Linked DNA regions of Anolis sagrei. The protein of the gene in region 1 binds, or shares a complex with, the protein of each later gene. Links are inferred from orthologs where the notes say so. Each region holds a gene or a part of one and is shown in the gene's direction. Other genes may lie near its edges. The genes, in order: KCNQ1 and KCNE3.

What was found.
Region 2: the proteins of KCNQ1 (region 1) and KCNE3 are in contact, whole or in part, in a cryo-EM structure (PDB 6V01), measured with the Homo sapiens proteins. The link is inferred for Anolis sagrei from reciprocal best matches to the Homo sapiens genes KCNQ1 and KCNE3. Residues at the interface, in NP_000209.2 of Homo sapiens: Arg116, Pro117, Thr118, Gly119, Trp120, Cys122, Phe123, His126, Phe127, Phe130, Leu134, Leu137, Ile138, Val141, Leu142, Ile145, Gln147, Tyr148, Arg181, Met238, Val241, Asp242, Gln244, Thr247, Lys362, Asn365, Ile368; in NP_005463.1 of Homo sapiens: Asp54, Asp55, Asn56, Ser57, Tyr58, Ile61, Met65, Phe68, Ala69, Val72, Gly73, Leu75, Ile76, Leu77, Tyr79, Thr80, Arg81, Ser82, Arg83, Val85, Lys87, Asp90.

The regions. Positions count from the first base shown.
Region 1 is NC_090021.1:245,559,934-245,570,276, forward strand, and holds the start of KCNQ1 (potassium voltage-gated channel subfamily KQT member 1), read left to right. Parts: upstream 1-6,364; 5' UTR 6,365-6,419; coding exon 6,420-6,850; intron 6,851-10,343. UniProt on the Homo sapiens protein: Pore-forming subunit of the voltage-gated potassium (Kv) channel involved in the regulation of cardiomyocyte excitability and important in normal development and functions of myocardium, inner ear, stomach and colon.
Region 2 is NC_090023.1:5,044,827-5,055,185, reverse strand, and holds the start of KCNE3 (potassium voltage-gated channel subfamily E member 3), read left to right. Parts: upstream 1-6,403; 5' UTR 6,404-6,468; intron 6,469-10,359. UniProt on the Homo sapiens protein: Ancillary protein that functions as a regulatory subunit of the voltage-gated potassium (Kv) channel complex composed of pore-forming and potassium-conducting alpha subunits and of regulatory beta subunits.

The DNA.
Region 1 (10,343 bases):
ATTTATTATTTGGGGTTCTTTTACCCCCCTTCTCATCATAAAACAATCATACACAAAATTACATCAATTCACAGTTGACAACAATTCATGCATTATAACCATAAAATCAATAAAATCAATAAAACCAAGTACAAACCCAATTTCTCCTCTTACATGGTCAGCGTTCGTTAACTCATAGATCTAGTTTTACATTCCACTTCATCAATCCTGCTGGTCTTACTCGCCTGATTGTCTGATTTAATTGCCAGAGTGCCCAAAGGCCTGGTCCCATAACCAAGTCTTCACCCTCCTCCTGAAGGCGAGGAGGGATGATGATGCCCTTATTTTCCCCGGGAGTGAGTTCCACAGGTGAGGGGCCACCACTGAGAAGGCCCTGCTCCTCGTCCCCACCAGCCTCACTTGTGACAGTGGTGGGGTCGAGAGCAGGGCCTCCCCAGATGATCTCAGACTCCGGGGTGGGACGTAGAGGGAGATACGTTCGGACAGATACACTGGACCGGAACCGTATTTCTCCCTTGTGCTCTCCATTTGCACCTCTTCAAATTCAACAGCACTATTGGTAACAGCTGACCACCAGTTAGAACGCTCCAGGGCCAGGGCTTTCCAGTTCTTGTTGTCTATGCCACAGTTTTAAAGGTTTTCTTTAAGCCCATCTTTAAATCTCTTTTCCTGTCCCTCATCATGGGGGGTAGGCACAGGATGTTCACAAATTTATCAGGGCATCCAATTTTTGAAAGACTGGTCTAGAGAGCATTGCAACTCACTATGTTGATTGCCATGTACAGAGGTTGATTTTCTCCCTGCATTTTTCTTGAAGTTGTTGTGCAGTGATTATCATATCCACTCTTCCTCTGGATGGACAAAAACCATTCTGGGATTCAGAGAGGATGTCTTCCAAGATAGGTAGATAATCTATATAAAGCATTTTCATCCTTCTTTTAGAGGTACTTGCAAAATTTGATTCGTATTGTTTGTAGGGCTACTTAAATTTGAAAGTTCTAATGTTACATTTAAACCAGAAACTGTCTGGTTTTGTGTAAAAGAGTTTCATTCTATACTCACTTTCCTGGAAGTAAGCTCTCGTAAATTGAATAGGATATAGTGAATTGACATCTATAGGATTGCATTGTTTAAACATGCCTGAATTATTTGCAGTTTGATGTACATGTGGAAGGATAGGTTTTATAGAACACCCTGGATAATAGGTCGCTGTGAGTTTTCCGGGCTGTATGGCCCTAGTCATTCTGGCCATGAAAGCCTTCAGCATCACCCTGGATACTTCTTTGCCTTTTATAAAACGGCTGCATTTGTCTTAGATTTTCAGAAGAAAGCATCCTCAGATAGAAAAGGTAGGTGTTATAATCAGTGGCACAGCCACTGCTTGCAAGTGTTTCAACCTCCCAAGTTGAATAATACTTACAAGATTAGTAACTAGCATGTAGGTTGTGCCAATCTACTTTTGACACAGATTACTTATGAGTAGTTCAGCAAGTGGATAAGTAGTGCTTACCTGCAACCACCAATGAGTAAGAACACTGGTTTCAGGTTAAAGACTATAGGAAGTTAATATCTGGTATGATATTTCTTAAGCCCAAGGCATGAGGGGAAATTTGGTATCTCACTGGTAAAAATGATAAGTTCCCTTCACAGTAGAAAGATGCTTCTTGGTTCCTCGCTGGTTTCTTTGCTTCTCTCTTTCTTTTACTCTTTTCCCCAGATCATGCCAGTTCTCTCTCAGGATGATTGCTCCAACTTGGTCCTATTAACATGAAGCTGTGATTATATATATCAAAAGTTACCTATATAACAAGAATTGTATATACTTATATATAAGCTGGCTTTATGTGTAACCTGAAGGCAGGTTTTGGAGCCAAAAGTGTGGATTTTGATATGACTTGTGGATAAGTAGAGGGTTATTCCAAGAAGAGGGGAAAGCACTAATGCTGCCTTGGGAGATCAAACTTCTTAAACCACCAAAACCACAATTTCTCTGCCCAGACCTTCAGAGAAGCCAGAAACAGTGCCATAGCAAAGAAAGCTGATGCTCCTTTTAGGTTCTCTCAAGATGGACTACGCTCTTGCCTTTTATTACTACTCAGAGAAGAGGATGGTTCCTTTTTTATCAGTTAAGATACAGTCACATTGACCCATGGATATCTGGACTAGTTTTTTAGAGTTGATTTTTGACTCATATTTTTAGACTTACACATGAGTATATAGGATATTAAATGTGATTTGACCAGGGATTGTTTAAACTGTGCAGAACAGACAAATTGAATATTATTTTTTCAGACAGGAAAAAAACAATGAGATTACAATTCCTTTTGTCTCAACCAGCATAGTTCTTGGTTGTGCTGGATGGGGATGATGGATACCTGTCCCCCTGGAGGGTGCAGGTTGGGAAAGGCTATGACTAAGGAGAAAACGAAATGATTACACCACCAAAGATAATTACTGTGACTACAATCTTGTATCAGCTACTTAATAAAGTTTACTTAACTAACCTTTCCTGGCATGACCACCATTCCAAACCATATTCACCCATGCAGAATGGGTCTTCTTCTTCCTATGCAGCTGATGTCAGGTAAAATAAGTTGGAGTGTGTGTTTGGGGGAGAGACACATTCAATTTGTCTGTTCTGCACAGTTTTTAAACAATCCCTGATCAATAGTGTCACAGTCATGACTAAAGAGTGATTGTAAATACGAAACAGTTATCTAGATTTACTCATCTGTAACAGTTCCTTCTCCACCATCAATTTCACTGGAGCAGCCATGTTGTCTAAATGCCTGTTTCCCAAAGCAGTTACCAAGTAAAATTTAAAACTGAATTGTTTCAGTTTTTTTGGTTATATCAATAATAATGCAAGTTTTATTTCTCCTCAATCATACATAGATACAGCTACTTTGACTGCAATCTTGTATCAGCTCCTCAATAAAGTTTACTTAACTAAGTAACCTTTCCTGGCATGACGACCATTCCAAACCATGGAACTACTGTATTTATGGATTGAAAGTATTAAAATGAATTTCCAGAAAGCAACCCTTGATTTTGCCATTTTATATAAGTGTATATAATGGGACCTTAATATTCACTGATTTTGTTATCCAGGTGTATGTTCAGCAGGTGGGGAGATGGAGGCTGGAACCAAACTCCAACAGGTACCAAGGCCCCCTCTACTTTAAATGGTAACTAAATAATGGAAATAATATACACTTTTCTAGTATATATTATCATACTTCAAATCATGTCATAATGTGCAATGTGTTGTGGCTGAGTATGATTGTCTTCCAGAGAGAGAGCCTTGACAGTGACTGTGAAGACCTATTCTGGATCCACGTGGTATTTCACAATGAGGACACAGATGTTCAGATAGAAGGTGATCATGAGAAGGATTTGCTTGACACTTCTCTTCTTTTTGTCCTGTATTGAGGGCCAGGGTTTCCCAATTCTCTGTGTTTATACCACATTTAGTTTAGCTTTAAGCTGATCTTTACATCTCTTTTGCTGTCCACCAACATTCTGTTTTCCATTCTTAAGTTGAGAATAACGTAATTGCTTTGGGAGATGGTGATCAGACATACCAAGGGCCTAAAAGGTAATGGTAAATGTTTCCCCTGACATTAAGTCTAGTCATGTCTGACTCTGGGGGGTGGTGCTCATCTCTATTTCTAAGCCAAAGAGCCAGCGTTGTCCATAGACACCTCCAAGGTCATGTGGCCAGCATGACAGCATGGAGCACTATTACCTTCTCACCGGAGAGGTACCTATTGATCTACTCACATTTGCATGTTTTTGAACTGCTAGGTTGGCAGAAGCTGGGCCTAACAGCAGGAGCTCACCCTGCTCCCCGGATTTGAACCACCAACCTTTTTGTCAGCAAGTTCAGTGGCTCAGCGGTTTAACATGCTGTGCCTCGGGGGAGGGGGGGCACCAAGGGCCTGGTGTACTTTAAAAGAGATCTTATATACACCAGAAAATGATGGCTAAATAATGGAAACAGAAATAATATATATATTTCTCTTACATATTGGACCACAAATCGTGTAGTACTATACACCCTATTTACTCAAATCTAATGCTCACCTTTTTTGTCTAAATGACCTTGTCAAAGTTAGGGTGTGCATGAGATTCGCATCATACTGTAATCTTAGTGCTATTCCTGCTTCTTGGCAGGGGGTTGGACTGGATGGCCCATGAGGTCTCTTCCAACTCTTTGATTCTATGATTCTATGCTGAGCCAAAGCCAAAGGGGAAGCTGCTTCACTATTTGAAATTTATATCTCAAATTTAATGGCCAGACTCAGACTCAATGTTTTGCCATCCTGGGATTTGTAGTTTGGCGAGGCACCTGCATTCTTTGGCAGAGAAGGCTCAAGACTTGAAAAACTTCACGCCCACCCCATGACTCCATGGCATTGAACCAAGATAATTAAAGTGCATTCATCCTGCAGCAGAGAATGTAGCATCCCAAGGTTTCCTTTCCATTGCTGGAAGTTTTGGTGTTCTAAAGGAGAATTCTAAGTAGGCACCAACTGTAAGGGGCAAATGACAAAGAGAGCACTTTTTGCTGCTGCACATGACCTTTGGCAGCAAATAATCCCCCCCCCCCCTTTTTTTATTTCAGGGTTTTGAAAATGGAAGTGTGCATTAGATCTGATGGTGCATTAGACTTGAGTAAATATGGTATAAGTTCACAACTTTTTTTTTGACAAGGGACCATTGACCAGGGACGACTCTGCAACATTAGTATCAACAGGGTTACGAATCAATCTTTGGTCAATTTTAGATTTGGTTTGGTTATTTGGGGTGCTGATTCAGAAAACTGCATTGGATAGGCTACATGAGCTCTAGTTTCTGATACAGAACATAGGCCATCCAGTAGTCACCATCTGCTCGCCCACAGAAAACCATAGTGAATAATCTAGAGCTGATGTGGTAGTAGTAATCTTTTGTGGGCAGTCAGCCTCTCCCCTCCCAAATTCCCATTGCCTTGACATTATAAGAGGGTTTCGCAAGACCAGTTGCTCTTGTTGCTGCAGGGTTTTGAGGCAACGGTGTAGTAATGGTGAAGCCAGAGACCATATTTTCGTTCTTGGTGGTCCACGGACCACAGGTTGGGAACTACTGGTATAAGATATATAGTATTTGGAATTGTTGCATTTATACAAAAGTTTTTCAAATATGATGTTTCAATGTCAGTTGTGTCAGCAGAAATGAATTCATGGTCACTATTGAGGACTTCCAATTCATTTATCCTATCAGGAGAGAACCAAGATTACAGAGGTAATGTATTTAAAAAACACAAAGGTTAAAAACTTGTCATGATACTAAATGTCCTTTGACCAATAGTGGGCCCCTTGGAGTGCCTCTGGTATTCCTATAAGAAGGTCCTCCGTTGTGCATGTGGCAGGGCTCAGGCTGCATTGAAATAGGTGGCCTGTGCTCCAGTAGCCTGCCAGGGTCCGGGGGCAGCAAGGGAGAGTCGCAATAACACCAAGAAGGCCACAGCAGCCTTCAGAGCACCTGCTGTCTGTGAACTTGCTGCCCGGTTGTGCCAAGCACCAGAGCCTTGTCAGGGAAAGAAGGAAGGAAGGAGGGAGGGAGGGAGGGAGAAGGAAAGGAGGAAGAAAGGAAAGAAAGGAAAGAAAGGAAAGAAAGGAAAGAAAGAAAGAAAGAAAGAAAGAGGGAGGGAGGGAGGAAGAAGGAAAGGAGAAAGAAAGGAAAGAAAGGAAAGAAAGAAAGAAAGAGGGAGGGAGGGAGGAAGAAGGAAAGGAGGAAGAAAGGAAAGAAAGAAAGAAAGAAAGAAAGAAAGAGGGAGAGAGAGAGAGAGAAAGAAAGAAGGAAGGAAGGAAGGAGTGAGGGAGAAGTAAAGGAGGAACAAAGGAAAGAAAGAAAGAAAGAAAGAAAGAGGGAGGGAGGGAGAAAGAAGGAAGGAAGGAAGGAAAGAGGGAGGGAGGGAGAAGGAAGGAAAGAAAGAAAGAAAGAAAGGAAAGAAGGAAGGAAGGAAGAGGGAAGGAGGGAGGAAGAAGAGAGGGGGGAGGAAAAAGGAAAGAGGGAGGGAGGGAGGAAGAGAGAAAGAAAGAAAGAAGGAAGGAGAAAGGAAGGAAGGAAGGAAGGAAAGGAGGGGAAGGGAAGGGAGAGGAGAAAGAAAAGAAAAGAAAAGAAAAGAAAAGAAAAGGAGGGCCGGTCTCCTTCCTCGGCAGTCCGCGCCGGGGCTCCTTGGGTGGCGACGGGCAGGAGGCATCGGGGCGGAGAGCGGGGCCCTTCCTTCCCCGGGGAGCCTCCCTCCCTCCCTCCCTCCCTCCCCTTGAGTGGGCCGGGCCAAGAAGGGCTCTCGGGCGGGCGGACGGGCAGGCAGGCGGCGAGAAAGGCCAGAGCGAAGGAGAGCAGCGCTGCCCCCGCCTGGCCTGGCCGCGATGCCTGCTTCCCCGCCGCCTTCGCCTTCTCCTTCCCCTTCCCCCGCGAAGGCGGAGCGGCGCCGCTGGACCCTGGAGCGCTTCTCGGTCCTCTCCAAGAAAGGCAGCCTCAAGCCCTCGGCGCTGGAGCTGGCCGAGAACGCCCCCGACGCCCGCTACGCGCCTTTCTCGCTCTCGGCGCCCGGCCCCCCGGCCCCGCGCAGCCCGCCAGGCGGAGGAGGAGGAGGAGGAGGATCAGGCGAAGAGGAGGCGGTGGCGGCGCGGGTGGTGATGAGCGCCGACTTCCCGCGCCCCTCGGTCAACCTGGACCCGCGCGTCTCCATCTACAGCGCCCGGCGCCCGCTCCTCAGCCGCAGCCACATCCAAGGACGGGTCTACAACTTCCTCGAGAGACCCACCGGGTGGAAGTGCTTCGTCTACCACTTCACCGTGTGAGTCAGCGGGGGGGGGGGGGGGGGGAAGGGGAAAGGGGGAGGGGAGCCCTTCGGAGTTAGAGTAGGACGAGAGGAGGGGAGGGGAAGGAAAGGCAGCGGGCACCATCTCTCGCAGGAGTGGGCTCCCTCCCACCCAGGGCGCTTTGCATCCTGCCCGGGATGCTGGGGGCTGCAGTCCGCTTCCCACGAGCCCGGCCCCGGCAAGCAGGCGGCTCTTCCTCCTCCTCCTCCTCCTCCCTTCCCCACACGAAGCAACCCGCCTCGGCTCTTCGGGTTGTCCTGCGCAACCTCGCACACCTTCTCTCCATCGCATGACAGCTCAAAGTTGCTGCTTTGGTGCACTTCTAAAACACGTCTAACTTGGTACTTTGTTGTGCCACGCGCATCCAACGCAAGGCCAAGGACCGAGCATCATTGGTATTTGGTCCACGAGGCTTCCAAGAAGAGGTCAACATAGTTCCATGTGTACAGTCTTGCAGTTGCAAGCAACCCTTTGAAGGCAACCGTAAGGCAGTTGTGGCCTTTGGTGAAAAGACCTTTGACACCCTTGATTTATTCTACTATCACCACTCCCTCCCCTTCAATAAAATTACTAGAGAGAGACACACACAAAGACAGAGAGGATAAATGCAGTTTGACAGGACTTGGACTGCCAGGAACCCAATGCTGTGGAATCATTTTACAAGGTCTGGAGCAGGCACGGGCAAACTTCGGCCCTCCTGGTGTTTTAGGCTTCAACTCCCACAATTCCTAACAGCTGGTAAGCTGGCTGGGATTTCTGGGAGGTGAAGTCCAAAACACCTGGAGGACCAAAGTTTTCCCATGCTTGTTCTGGAGTCTTCTCCACCAAAAAGCGCCAGAGCCTTCTCAACTTGCAACACCCAGGTTTCCATAGCACTGGGCCATGGCATTTAAAGTGGTTTTGAACTTCCTTCGTGGTACAGTCTATATGCACCCCAGGCGTCGCTAGAGTTTGCTTGGTTTAAACCCTAAGTCTCCCTGAGTCCCTATAAGATAGGGTATAGGTAAAGGTAAAAGTTTCCTCCTGACATTTAAGTCCAGTTGTGTCTTAATCTGGGGGGTGGTGCTCATCTCCATTTCTAAGCTGAAGAGCCAGCATTGTCCGTAGACACCTCCAAGGTTATGTGGCCAACATGACTGCATGGAATACCATTACTTTCCTACCAGAGTGATTGCTATTGATCTACTCACATTTGCATGTTTTTGAAATGTAGGTTGGCAGGAGCTGGGGCTAAAAATAGGAGCTCACTCCGCTCCCCAGATTCAAACTACCAACCTTTCAGTCAGCAAGTTCAGCAGCTCAGTGGTTTAACCTACTGCACTACTGGGGTATAGGTAATGCCACCAAATTAACAAGCAAACGGATAACTGCAATAGGCATGCTCATACTTGGGAGTCATTTCCGTTAGGTTCAGTGGAGGATGCAGCCAGCCCTCCGCATCCACAGATTCTGCATTCACAGATTAAACCATACATTTCTTTAAAATTCCCAAAAGCAAATGTTGATTTTGCCATTTTGTGCAGGGACACCCTCTTACTGTGCCATTGTACATAATGGGACTTGAGCATCCACAGATTTTGTTATCCATGGAACCAAACCCCAGTAGATACCAAGGGTTCACTAAACTTCTAGGAAAGAGTTTGTAGCATTTATTTGTTTGTTTAAGATATTTCTCCCTCTGCCTTTCTCTGCGGCTGGACCCAAAGCGGTTAAAAAGATAAAGGTTTCCCCTTGACATTAAGTCTAGTTGTGTCCAGCTCTGGGGGGTAATGCTCATCTCCATTTCTAAGTTGAAGAGGCAGCATTGTCCGTAGGCATCTCCTAGGTCATGTGGCCAGCATGACTGCAAGAAGTGCCATTACCTTCTCGCCAGAGTGGTGCCTATTGATCTACTCACGTTTGCATGTTTTCAAACTGCTAGGTCGGCAGAAGCTGGGCTTAACAGTGGAAGCTCACCATGCTCCCTGAATTCGAATCGCTGACCTTTTGATCAGCAAGGTAATCAGATCAGCAGTTTAACATGCTGCACCAAACCAAAGTGGTTTACAACATATGAAACACACAATATCAACAATAAAACATACAATAAACAAATTAAAACATACTTAAAATATACTGCAGGCGACGTATGTAACAATTCATTGTAAGATCCTCAGATGTGTTTGTCACACAGAAGTCTGTTTTCCCCTTTTTAGCTTGTGATGCCTGTCTTACAGAATATGCGTTTTTAGTAATCCCATCAGTATAAGACCTTGGGTGGAGGAACAGCTCTGTTGGGTAGCAGCTCTAGGTGTGTTTCCAGACAGGCCCCCTTGAACCATGTACCTGTTATGCCCAATGGAAAGTTCCGCTGTGGATTGCTCAGTGCTGAAGGTCTTGGAAAAGCTTTTTTTTTTTTTTTACTGCAACTCCCAGAAGACTTTTGGGGGGAAGTTGCAATCCAAAAAAGTAACATTCTTAAGGTCTGGATCTATTTGATGAGTTGCGCACATACTTCTTTGTGTGTGTTCCATTCATTCGTAATGTGATTAGGGAAGCAATACATTGTGTGCCAAGAACTTTTTATGCTGGCTGGAGCAGCAGAGTCCATAAATTGTTGCTCATAAGAGAGTACTTTAAAGCAGCCATTTATCTGCATCAGTTGGTTGATTGTTCAGAGCCAGGGGTTACCTGCACTACTGCACATAAGCCCATGTAGCAAACACTTGGTTGCTGTTTGGGGGTGCATCAACAGTGCATAATTAATGCAGATAGACACCAGTTTAACTGCCATGGCTCAATGCTATGGAATCCTGGGGGCTGTAGATTTACAAGCCTTTTCTGCCCAAAAGTGACAGCTCCTCACCAAGCTACAAATCTCAGAATTCCGAAGCATTGAGCCATGGTGGTTAAAGCAGTGTCAAACTGCATTAATTATACAGTGTACAGCCAGCCTTGTTCTAGGTCCCAAACAGGGAGGGAGGTTTTGAGAGGAAGAGAGGCAGGAGGGGAAACCCCTTCTTCCACCACTTTCCCGCCATTAGCCTATCACGTTATTTGGAGAGGCAAAACATGTTTGAAACCTTGCAGAGTAGGAGGGGATTTGGAGTGAAAAAAATTGTGCTTGGTTCATTTCTCACTCATCACTTCTTAATTCTCAATCTCCCATTCTGCAAATTTCCAAATATGTGTTTGCCTTTCACCATATACAATACACAGGGAGGGAAGGGATGAAATGCAATCAGGAGCAACAAAGTGACCAAGAAGAAACACGAAGCTTTTGTTAGTTTGTGTTTGCATGCAGTTGGAAGTTAGGTCCTAGGCCTGAACCATCAGGCGCTGAGAGATCAATTCTTTTAAAAGAATTGGTACACTATGATGTTTAATATAATCATATGGATTGATATCTTGCTCTTTTGATAGCAATTCATTTCAGGCAAGTCAAAAGAAAACTGAATGCTGTTCTACTCAATCAGAATAAGACTATAT
Region 2 (10,359 bases), on another chromosome or scaffold:
AGCCAAAAAATAAAATAAAACATTACGATGCATATGCAAAACCACATATATACACATACAAAACACATATACACAGACTGGGCCACAGCAACTTGTGGCAGGGGACGGCTAGTATCCCGATATGCTGTTTTCTGGCAGGGAAAGGATTCTGATTACAGTTTTAAAACACAAAACAAGTCCATAGTCCCCATGTAGGAAATGAACAGTGTGGTTGTACGAGACAATAGTTAACAATTGTACATACAGAAAGAAGGGCTTTGCTGTATTTTTTGAAGAAGGAGAGAAAAGGAAAAAGGACAGAAAAGGAATTAAATGAAAGGGAAAAGAAGGGCAGAAAATGAAAATAAAAGGAAAAATAGAAGGAAAGAAAGGGAACACGAGGTTAGAAAAGAAAGGAAGGGAAAAGAATGGGAGAAAAGGAAGTACGGCGGGAAGGAAGGAAAGAAAGAAAGGGAAAAGAAGGGCAGCAAAGGTAGGATGAAAGGAAGGAAAGGGAAAAGGATAACAGAAAAGAAAGGAAAGAAAGAAAGGGAAAAGAAGGGCAGCAAAGGTAGGATGAAAGGAAGGAAAGGGAAAAGGATAACAGAAAAGAAAGGAAAGAAAGAAAGGGAAAAGAAGGGGAGAAAAGGAAGTACGGCGGGAAGGAAGGAAAGAAAGAAAGGGAAAAGAAGGGTAGCAAAGGTAGGATGAAAGGAAGGAAAGGGAAAAGGATAACAGAAAAGAAAGGAAAGAAAGAAAGGGAAAATAAGGGGAGAAAAGGAAGGATGGCAGGAAGGAAGGAAAGGAAGGAAGGATGGAAGGAAGGAAGGAAGGAAAGAAAGAGGGAAAAGGAGGTCAGAAAAGAAAGGAAGGAAAGAAAGAGGGAAAAGGAGGTCAGAAAAGAAAGGAAGGAAAGAAAGAAAGGGAAAAGCAGGGGAGAGAAGGAGGCACGTCTAGAAGGAAAGAAAGAAAAGGAAAAGAAGGAGAAAAGGAAAAAGAAGGGCAGAAAAGTAAATGAAAGGGAAAAGAAGGGCAGAAAATGAAGAAAAAAAGAAAGGGAAAAGAGCAGAAAAGGAAGAATAGAAGGAAAGAAAGGGAACAGGAGGTCAGAAAAGAGGAAGGAAAGAAAGAAAGGGAAAAGAAGAGGAGAAAAGGAAGGATGACGGGAAGGAAGGAAAGATAGAAAGAAAGGCAGAATAGGAAGGATGGACGGAAAGAGAAAAGGAGGTCAGAAAAGAAAGGAAGGAAAGAAAGGGAAAAGAAGGGGAGAAAAGGAAGGACGTCTGGAAGGAAAGAAAGAAAGAAAGCCAGTTTGAGTCCCTCTACGGAGGTAGAGAAGATTGGGATATAAAAGTTTTAAATAATAAATTTAAATTAAATAAGAAAGAAAGAAAGAAAGAAAGAAAGAAAGAAAGAAAGGGAAAAGGAGGACTTGGAAGGAACTGAACAGACTGTGCTCTGGCACCACGAGATTTAAGAAATGGGGTCACAAAGTGGAATCCACGACATGCGAGTGTGGAGAAGAGCAAACCACTGACCACTTGCTGCAATGCACCCTGAGCCCTGCCACATGATGCACCATGGAGGACCTTCTTGCAGCAACACCAGAGGCACTCCAAGTGGATGACTACTGGTCAAAAGACATTTAAGAGAATGCCAAGTTTGCAAACTTTGTGTGTGTGTGTTTTAAAAAAATACAATACAACTGTTTGGTTCACTCCTGACATGATAAACAAATAAATTAGCTTTGATTTACACTGGATAATGATTTACATTGGAAGAGCCTGCCTTTTTTGCTTTCTGGTTCCTCCTAAATGACAGGGAATCTCTTGGAATCGCCTGGATTTATGGGTTCTGCACAGGGAACATGGCAAATAGCAGGGCATGTGTTAAATGAATATACATGTCCTGGACTGGAACATTTTGTATAAGTTGAGGGAGCGGTGGAAGATTTCGACCTCCAGAACAGGAGTGGCTGGTACACCAAAGTCCCCTTTTCCCTCCTTTTCCTCAGAATCATAAATTATGGAATTATATTATTATTATACATATTATTTTTGAGTTATTAATATAACTCAAAAACCACTGGACGAATTGCCACCAAATTTGGACACAAGACACCTACTAACCCAAGGAGTAACCATCACTCAAAAAAAACCCTGATTTTGTCATTTGTGAGTTGTAGTATCTGGGATTTATAGTTCACCTGCAATCAAAGAATATTCTGAACTCCACCAACAATGGAATGGAACCAAACATGGCACACAGGACTCCCACTACCAACAGAAAACACGTGAAGGGTTTGGTGAGCATTGAACTTGAGTTTGGGAGTTGTAGTTCACCTACATCCAGAGGGCACTGTGGACTCAGACAATGATGGATCAGGACCAAACTTGGCATGAATATTCCATATGCCCAAATATGAACACAGATGGAGTTTGGAGAAAATAGACCTTGACATTTGGGAGTTGTAGTTACTGGGATTGATAGTTCACCTACAATCAAAGAGCGTTCTGAACTCCACGAACAACAGAATTGGCCAAACTTCCCACACAGAACCCCCATGACCAACAGAAAATTCTTAAGGCCATCCAGTCACCAGGGCAAGATATATATATTTCTCTCATATCTATCTATTTCATACATATATATATTTCTCCTCTAGCTAGCTAGCTTTCATCTATCCATCTATCTATCTCATATATATATATATATATATATATATATATATATATATATATATATATAATCTATCTATGTCATAAATATAGTTCTCTCCTATCTATCTAATGTTGTTGTTGTTCATTCGTTCAGTCGTCTCCGACTCTTCGTGACCTCATGGACCAGCCTACGCCAGAGCTCCCTGTCGGCCGTTACCACCCCCAGCTCCCTCAAGGTCAGTCCAGTCACTTCAAGGATGCCATCCATCCATCTTGCCCTTGGTCGGCCCCTCTTCCTTTTGCCTTCCGCTTTCCCCAGCATCATTCCCTTCTCCAGGCTTTGCTGTCTCCTCATGATGTGGCCAAAGGACTTCCACTTTGTCTCTCGTCTCCTTCCCTCCAGTGAGCATTTGGGCTTTATTTCCTGGAGGATGGACTGGTTGGATCTTCTCGCAGTCCAAGGCACTCTCAGCACTTTCCTCCAACACCACAGCTCAAAAGCATCGATCTTCCTTCGCTCAGCCTTCCCTAAGGTCCAGCTCTCACATCCGTAGGTGACTACAGGGAATGCCATGGCTTTGACTAGGCAATGGATCTTGGTTGCCAGTCTGATGTCTCTACTCTTCACTATTTCATCAAGACTGGACATTGCTCTCCTCCCAAGAAGGAACCGTCTTCTGATTTCCTGGCCACAGTCTGCATCTGCACTCATCTTTGCACCTAGAAATACAAAGTCTGTCACAGCCTCCACATTTTCTCCCTCTATTTCCCAGTTGTCAATCATTCTTGTTGCCATAATCTTGGGTTTTTTGACGTTTAGCTGCAACCCGGCTTTTGCGCTTTCTTCTTTCACCTTGATTAGAAGGCTCCTCAGCTCCTCCTCGCTTTCGGCCATCAGAGTGGTGTCATCTGCATATCTGAGGTTGTGAATGTTTCTTCCAGCCATTTCCACCCCAGCTTTGCATTCATCCAGCCCCGCACATCGCATGATGTGTTCTGCATACAAGTTAAAAAGGTTGGGTGAGAGGATGCAGCCTTGCCGGATGCCTTTCCCAATCTTGAACCAGTCTCCTGTTCCGTGGTCAGTTCTGACTGTTGCTCCTTGGTCCTTGTACAGATTCCTCAGGAGAGAGGGAAGGGGGCTTGGGATGCCCATCTCACTAAGAACTTGCCACAATTTAATATGATCCACACAGTCAAAGGCTTTAGAATAGTCAATGAAGCAGAAGTAGATGTTTTTCTGAAACTCCCTGCCTTTCTCCATTATCCAGCGGATATTGGCAATCTGGTCTCTGGTTCCTCTGCCTTTTCTAAACCCAGCTTGAACATCTGGCAGCTCTCGCTCCATGTATTGCTGGAGTCTTCCTTGCAGGATCTTGAGCATTACCTTTACTGGCATCTATCTAATACATATATATATATATATATATCTCCTATCTATCTATCTATCTATCTATCTATCTATCTCTCTATCTAATATATATATATATATATATATATATAGAGAGAGAGAGAGAGAGAGAGAGAGAGAGATAATATCTATTGATCTATCTCTCATATATATATATATATATATATCTCATAAATATATATATTTCTGTCATATCTATCTGTCTATCTCATATATATTTCTCTTCTATCTATCTATCTCATATATATATGTGTGTGTGTGTGTGTGTCATATCTATCTCATATATATATATATATCATATCTATCCATCTATCTCATATATATATATATATATATATATATGTATATATCATATCTATCTCATAAATATATATATTTCTGTCATATCTATTATTATTTATTTATTTATTATTTGCACTTGTTAACCGCCACTCTCAGCCCGAAGGCGACTCGTGGCGGTGTACAGAACATAGAACATAAAGACAACAGTTACAGTAAATTCAGGGCCATAACACACATCTTACTAACACACAGCTAATTAAACTAAAAATCCGCTTTGTCTTGTTTGGGTCATAATCAGTCTCGTAGTCCTAGTCCATTCCGGTGGTCATTCCAAAACATAGCACTTAATTGAAGGCCTTTTCGAAGAGCCAGGTTTTCAGGCCCTATCTATCTGTCTATCTCATATATATTTCTCTTCTATCTATCTATCTATCTATCTCATATATATGTGTGTGTGTGTGTGTGTGTCATATCTATCTCATATATATATATATATCATATCTATCCATCTATCTCATATATATATATATATATATATATGTATATGTATATATCATATCTATCTCATAAATATATATATTTCTGTCATATCTATCTGTCTATCTCATATATATTTCTCTTCTATCTATCTATCTATCTCATATATATATATATGTGTGTGTGTGTGTGTCATATCTATCTCATATATATATATATATCATATCTATCCATCTATCTCATATATATATATATATATATATATGTATGTATGTATATATCATATCTATCTCATAAATATATATATTTCTGTCATATCTATCTGTCTATCTCATATATATTTCTCTTCTATCTATCTATCTATCTATCTCATATATATATATATGTGTGTGTGTGTGTGTCATATCTATCTCATATATATATATATATCATATCTATCCATCTATCTCATATATATATATATATATATATGTATGTATATATCATATCTATCTCATAAATATATATATTTCTGTCATATCTATCTGTCTATCTCATATATATTTCTCTTCTATCTATCTATCTATCTCATATATATATATATATATATATATATCTCATATCTATCCATCTATCTCATATATATATATATATATATGTATGTATATATCATATCTATCTCATAAATATATATATATTTCTGTCATATCTATCTGTCTATCTCATATATATTTCTCTCCTATCTATCTATCTATCTATCTATCTATCTCATATATATATATATATATATCTCATATCTATCTCTCTATCTCATATAGATATATATATTTCTCTCCTATCTATCTATCTCATATATATATATATATATATATGTATATCATATCTATCTATCTCATAAATATATATATATATTTCTGTCATATCTATCTGTCTATCTCATATATATTTTTCTCTCATATCTATCTCCTGTGTGTGTGTGCATCTCATATCTATCTATCTCTATTATTATTATTATTAATGATAATAATAATAATAATAATAATAGGAATAGCTTTATTTATATTCCTCTCCCTCTCCCTGCAGGGACTGGGAAGGGCTCACAACAATATAAAATCACAAAATGCATATCTGTATTTCTATCTGTCTCCAAATGAGCAAGTTGTTCCAGGAATAAAGCAGAGAAGAGTGCAGAATATGAGGAAGTTACTATTCCTGAGGGAATTTATGGGGCTTGAAAAGGTAGGAGTCCTGCTCATTCCCACCCCCCCACCCCCCACCCCCCAAAAAAGTTTCCCAAATAAAGCAGAGAAGAGTGCAGAATATGAGGAAGTTACTCTTCCTGAGGGAATTTATGGGGCTTGAAGAGGTAGGGGTCCTGCTCATTCCCTCCCCAAAAAAAGTTTTCCAAAGTTTTTCCTGCAAAGTAGAGCCCCCGAAAGAAGCTCCTTTGCCAGGGAAAGGAGTTCCTTAAGGGTTGGGGGTGACTCATAGGTACTCTTCCCTTCCCTTCTGGGTCTGGGTCCGGCAGGAAAAAGGCGTGAAAAGAGGGAGGGAAGGAAGGAAGGAAAGAAGGAAGGAGGAAAAGAAGGAGGGAAGGAGGAGAAGGAGGTCCAGAGGCGGGTTGGCTTTGGGCAGGACGCTGCCAGCTGCGAAGGAGAAGCTCCGCCGGGGAAGAGAGAGGTGAGTAAGCAGAGAGGGAGGGAGACTCTGCCCAAGAGGGCCCCCTGACACGCGTCTCAGGACCCGTGTGTGGGCGCACGTGTGAACGCGCTCCTTGGGAAAGCCATCCTTTGCCCGCGCCTCCAAATGCGTCCAAAGTCGGGCACGGGTTGCTGAATCAGCACAACGCCTCTTGTGTTATGGAAACCTACAGGATTCCTTAACAGTTAAAGCGGGATCAAACTGCACCACTTCTATAGTGTAGAGGACACCCAGCAAAGCATATTTGCAATATAGGCTGGTGATTTCATTTCAATGCATTCTGTCTGGGTTTTAGTCCGAATTTTAAAGCTGTTCTTCCAGGTTTCGAAGCTTTGCTCCCTAATAAGACCTTGGAGAGCTCCTTTATGGCAAAAGACACTATTATTGAGCGTCAGAGTCTCCTTTTCTTGAGGTTTCTAAAGCAAAGGCTGGATGGACATCTGTCGGGAGGGATTCGATTGTGTCTTCCTGCCTGGCAGAACTGGGTTGGACTGCATGGCCTCTGGGGGTCCCTTTTAAATCCAAGAACTCTCAAAGATAATTGCCAATGGTTCCGAAATGACTTCCGCTAGTTCCCTCAGTACTCTGGGGTGTAGTTGATCTGGCCCTGAAAGGGGACTTGAACTCATTGAGAGCGGCCAGGTATTCCTGGACGACTTCTTTCCCAATTTGGGGTTGGATGTCCTCCAATCCCTCATCCACTCCATCTTGCTGAGGTTGAAGATGATTTTCTTTTTGTGAGAAGACCGAGGCAAAGAAGGCATTGAGTAGTTCTGCCTTTTCCCTATCCCCTGTCAGCGTTGCCCCATCTTCTCCTCGAAGAGGTCCTATCGGCTCCTTGTTTTTCCTTTTTCTACTGACATACGAAAAGAAGCCCTTTTTATTGTTTTTAATGTCCCTCGCAAGCCTGAGCTCGTTTTGTGCTTTAGCCTTGCGGACCTTTTCCCTACAGGTGTTTTGTTTGAATTCTTCTTTGGTGATTTCTCCCTTTCTCCACTTCTTGTGCATGTCTCTTTTGTGTTTTAGCACAGTTAGAAGTTCTTTGGACATCCATTCTGGCTTCTTTGCACTTGTCCTATTTTTTCTCTTTGTTGGCACAGTTTGCAAATGCACCTTTAGTATTTCACTCTTGAGAAATTCCCATCCATCCGTAGCTCCCTTGTCTTTTAGTATCTGTGCTGCTCAGCGTTTCCTTCATTTTTTGGAAATCAGCTCTCCTAAAGTCCAAAATGCGGGTTTGACTTGTCTTAGTTTCGGCCTTCCTTTGTACCTCAAATTGCAGGAGCACATGGTCACTTGCCCCTAAGGATCCTACCACTTCAACCGCATCGATCAGGTCCTCCGCATTTGTTAGGATGAGATCAAGAGTAGCCAACCCTACTTGCCTAGTTTCCAACAGACTTTACAACCTCTGAAGATGACTGCCATAGATGTGGGTGTAACGTCAGGAGATAATGCTTCTGGAACATGGCCATACAGCCCGGAAAAGTCACAACAACTCTGAAGTGTGAAAATGTCCAGGTTGTAAATCTTTGCACAAGTACCGTGCCACACAACCCTTGTGTCGAGCAGCTTTGTGGCACGAGCGTGAGCCAAGTGTGCAACACAGTTTTCACAAGCAAAGGTGCACACGGATCCACGTGCAAGGGGCCCCATTCATCCACGCAGCACGGCCGTTAACTAACCAACACAAATAAGAGGAAGCGATAAGAATGTGTAAACCCATTAAAAGATTATTTTAAAATATGATAAGTCGCTGCCTTTTAATGGGATTGGTTAGGAGTGTTTGTTTTGGATTTAATTGCGCTCTGGATCTGTGCACGGATTGTTTTCAAACTCTCGGTTTGTTGATTCTAAGTCCTGTGAGTCAAGTCTCAGATGGGCTTTGTGTGTGTCTTTGTTTCTTGTTGTGCTGCGTGTGCATTCATGCAGCTTGTTGTTGTTAGGCAATCCCTCGTTGGCTGAGTAGGATAGTCTTCCAAGATCAGAATTCTTGTGAGTCCGTAGGTGGCTGTGGAGTCCTATTCTTGACCCGCATCTTCTCCCGCAGTGAGGGCATCAGTTTCCAGATGGAAGGTGGTCTCGGTTGGGGTCGACTTGATGTGCCTTCTTCTTGGCACGCTTCTCTAATTCACCCTCCATTCATGCCTCTTCAAATTCTGCAGCACTGCTGGTCACAGCTGACCTCCAACTGGAGTGCTCACAGGTCAGGGCTTCCCAGTTCTCAGTGTCTATGCCAGAGATTTTAAGGTTTGCTCTGAGCCCACCTTTCAATCTCTTTTCCAATCCTCCAACATTCCGTTTTCCGTTCTTGAGTTCGGAGTAGAGCAACTGCTTTGGGAGACGGTGGTCGGGCATCCGGACAACGTGGCTGGTCCAGCGGAGTTGATGGCGGAAGACCATCGCTTCAATGCTGGTGGTCTTTGATTCTTCCAGCACGCTGACGTTTGTCCGCCTGCCTTCCCAAGAGATTTGCAGGATTTTCCAGAGGCAGTGCTGACGGAATCGTTCCAGGAGTTGCATCTGTAGACAGTCCACGTTTCACAGGCATACAGTAGAGTTGGGAGAACAATAGTTTTATATACACCTTGGTTTCCCTACAGATGTCCCGGTCCTCAAACACTCTCTGCTTCATTCAGAAAAATGCTGCGCTTGCAGAGCTCAGGTGGTGTTGTATTTCAGCCTCAGTTTTGATGTCTGTAGACAGTCCACGTTTTGCAGGCATATAGCAGGGTTGGGAGGACAATAGCTTTATAAACCTTGGTATCCCTACAGATGTCCCGGTCCTCAAACACTCTCTGCTTCATTTGGAAAAATGCTTCACTCTCAGAGCTCAGGTGGTGGTGTATTTCAGTTTCAATGTTGACGTCTGTAGACAGTCCACGTTTCACAGGCATAGAGCAGGGTTGGGAGGACAATAGCTTTATAAACAAGCACCTTGGTCTCCCTGCGGATGTCCCAGTCCTCAAACACTCTCTGCTTCATTCGGGAAAATGATGCACTCACAGAGCTCAGGCGGTGTTGTATTTCGGTGTCGATGTTGACATTTGTGGAGAGGTGGCTGCCAAGGTAGCGGAAATGGTCAACATTTTCTAATGTTACACCATTAAGATGTATTTTTGGCATTGGAGAGGGATTGCCTGGTGTCTGCTGGAACAGCACTTTGGTTTTCTCGATGTTCAGTGACAGGCCGAGCTTCTCGTATGCTTCTGCGAAGGTGTTTAGAGTGGCTTGTAGATATTCTTCTGAATGCACACAGACAACATTGTCATCAGCATACTGGAATTCTATAACAGATGTTGTTATAACCTTGGTTTTGGCTTTCAGTCTGCTGAGGTTGAATAGCTTGCCATGATTTTCACTCCAGTGGGAAGCTTCCCGTCAGCAAGGTGAAGTATCATAGCGATGAAGGTGGAGAATAGAGTTGGGGCAAGAACATATCCCTGTTTGACACCCGATTCCACCTTAAATGGGTCACTTTGAGAGCCATTGCTGTCCAAGACTGTTGCCATCATGTCATCATGGAGGATGTTCACAAATTTGCTTGGGCACCCGATTTTTTGGAGGATGGTCCACAGAGCGCTGCGATTCGCTGTGTCGAATGCCTTTGCAAGGCCAATGAATGCCATGGACAGAGGTTGGTTTTGTTCCCTGCATTTGTGGAGCAATGCACACTCAACACAAGCACATGGGCAATGGGTGTGGACCCTCTCCATCAGGCATTCTTTCCCAATTGCTTCTGAAATAATTATTGTTCCTGTTTTGAAAGTGTTATTTCCCGTGTAATTGTGCCGTACTTACTTTGAAAGGAGTTGTTCTCTTTCATGAACTTCGTTGTCAGTGCCGCAAACTATGTTGAATTGGATGAGA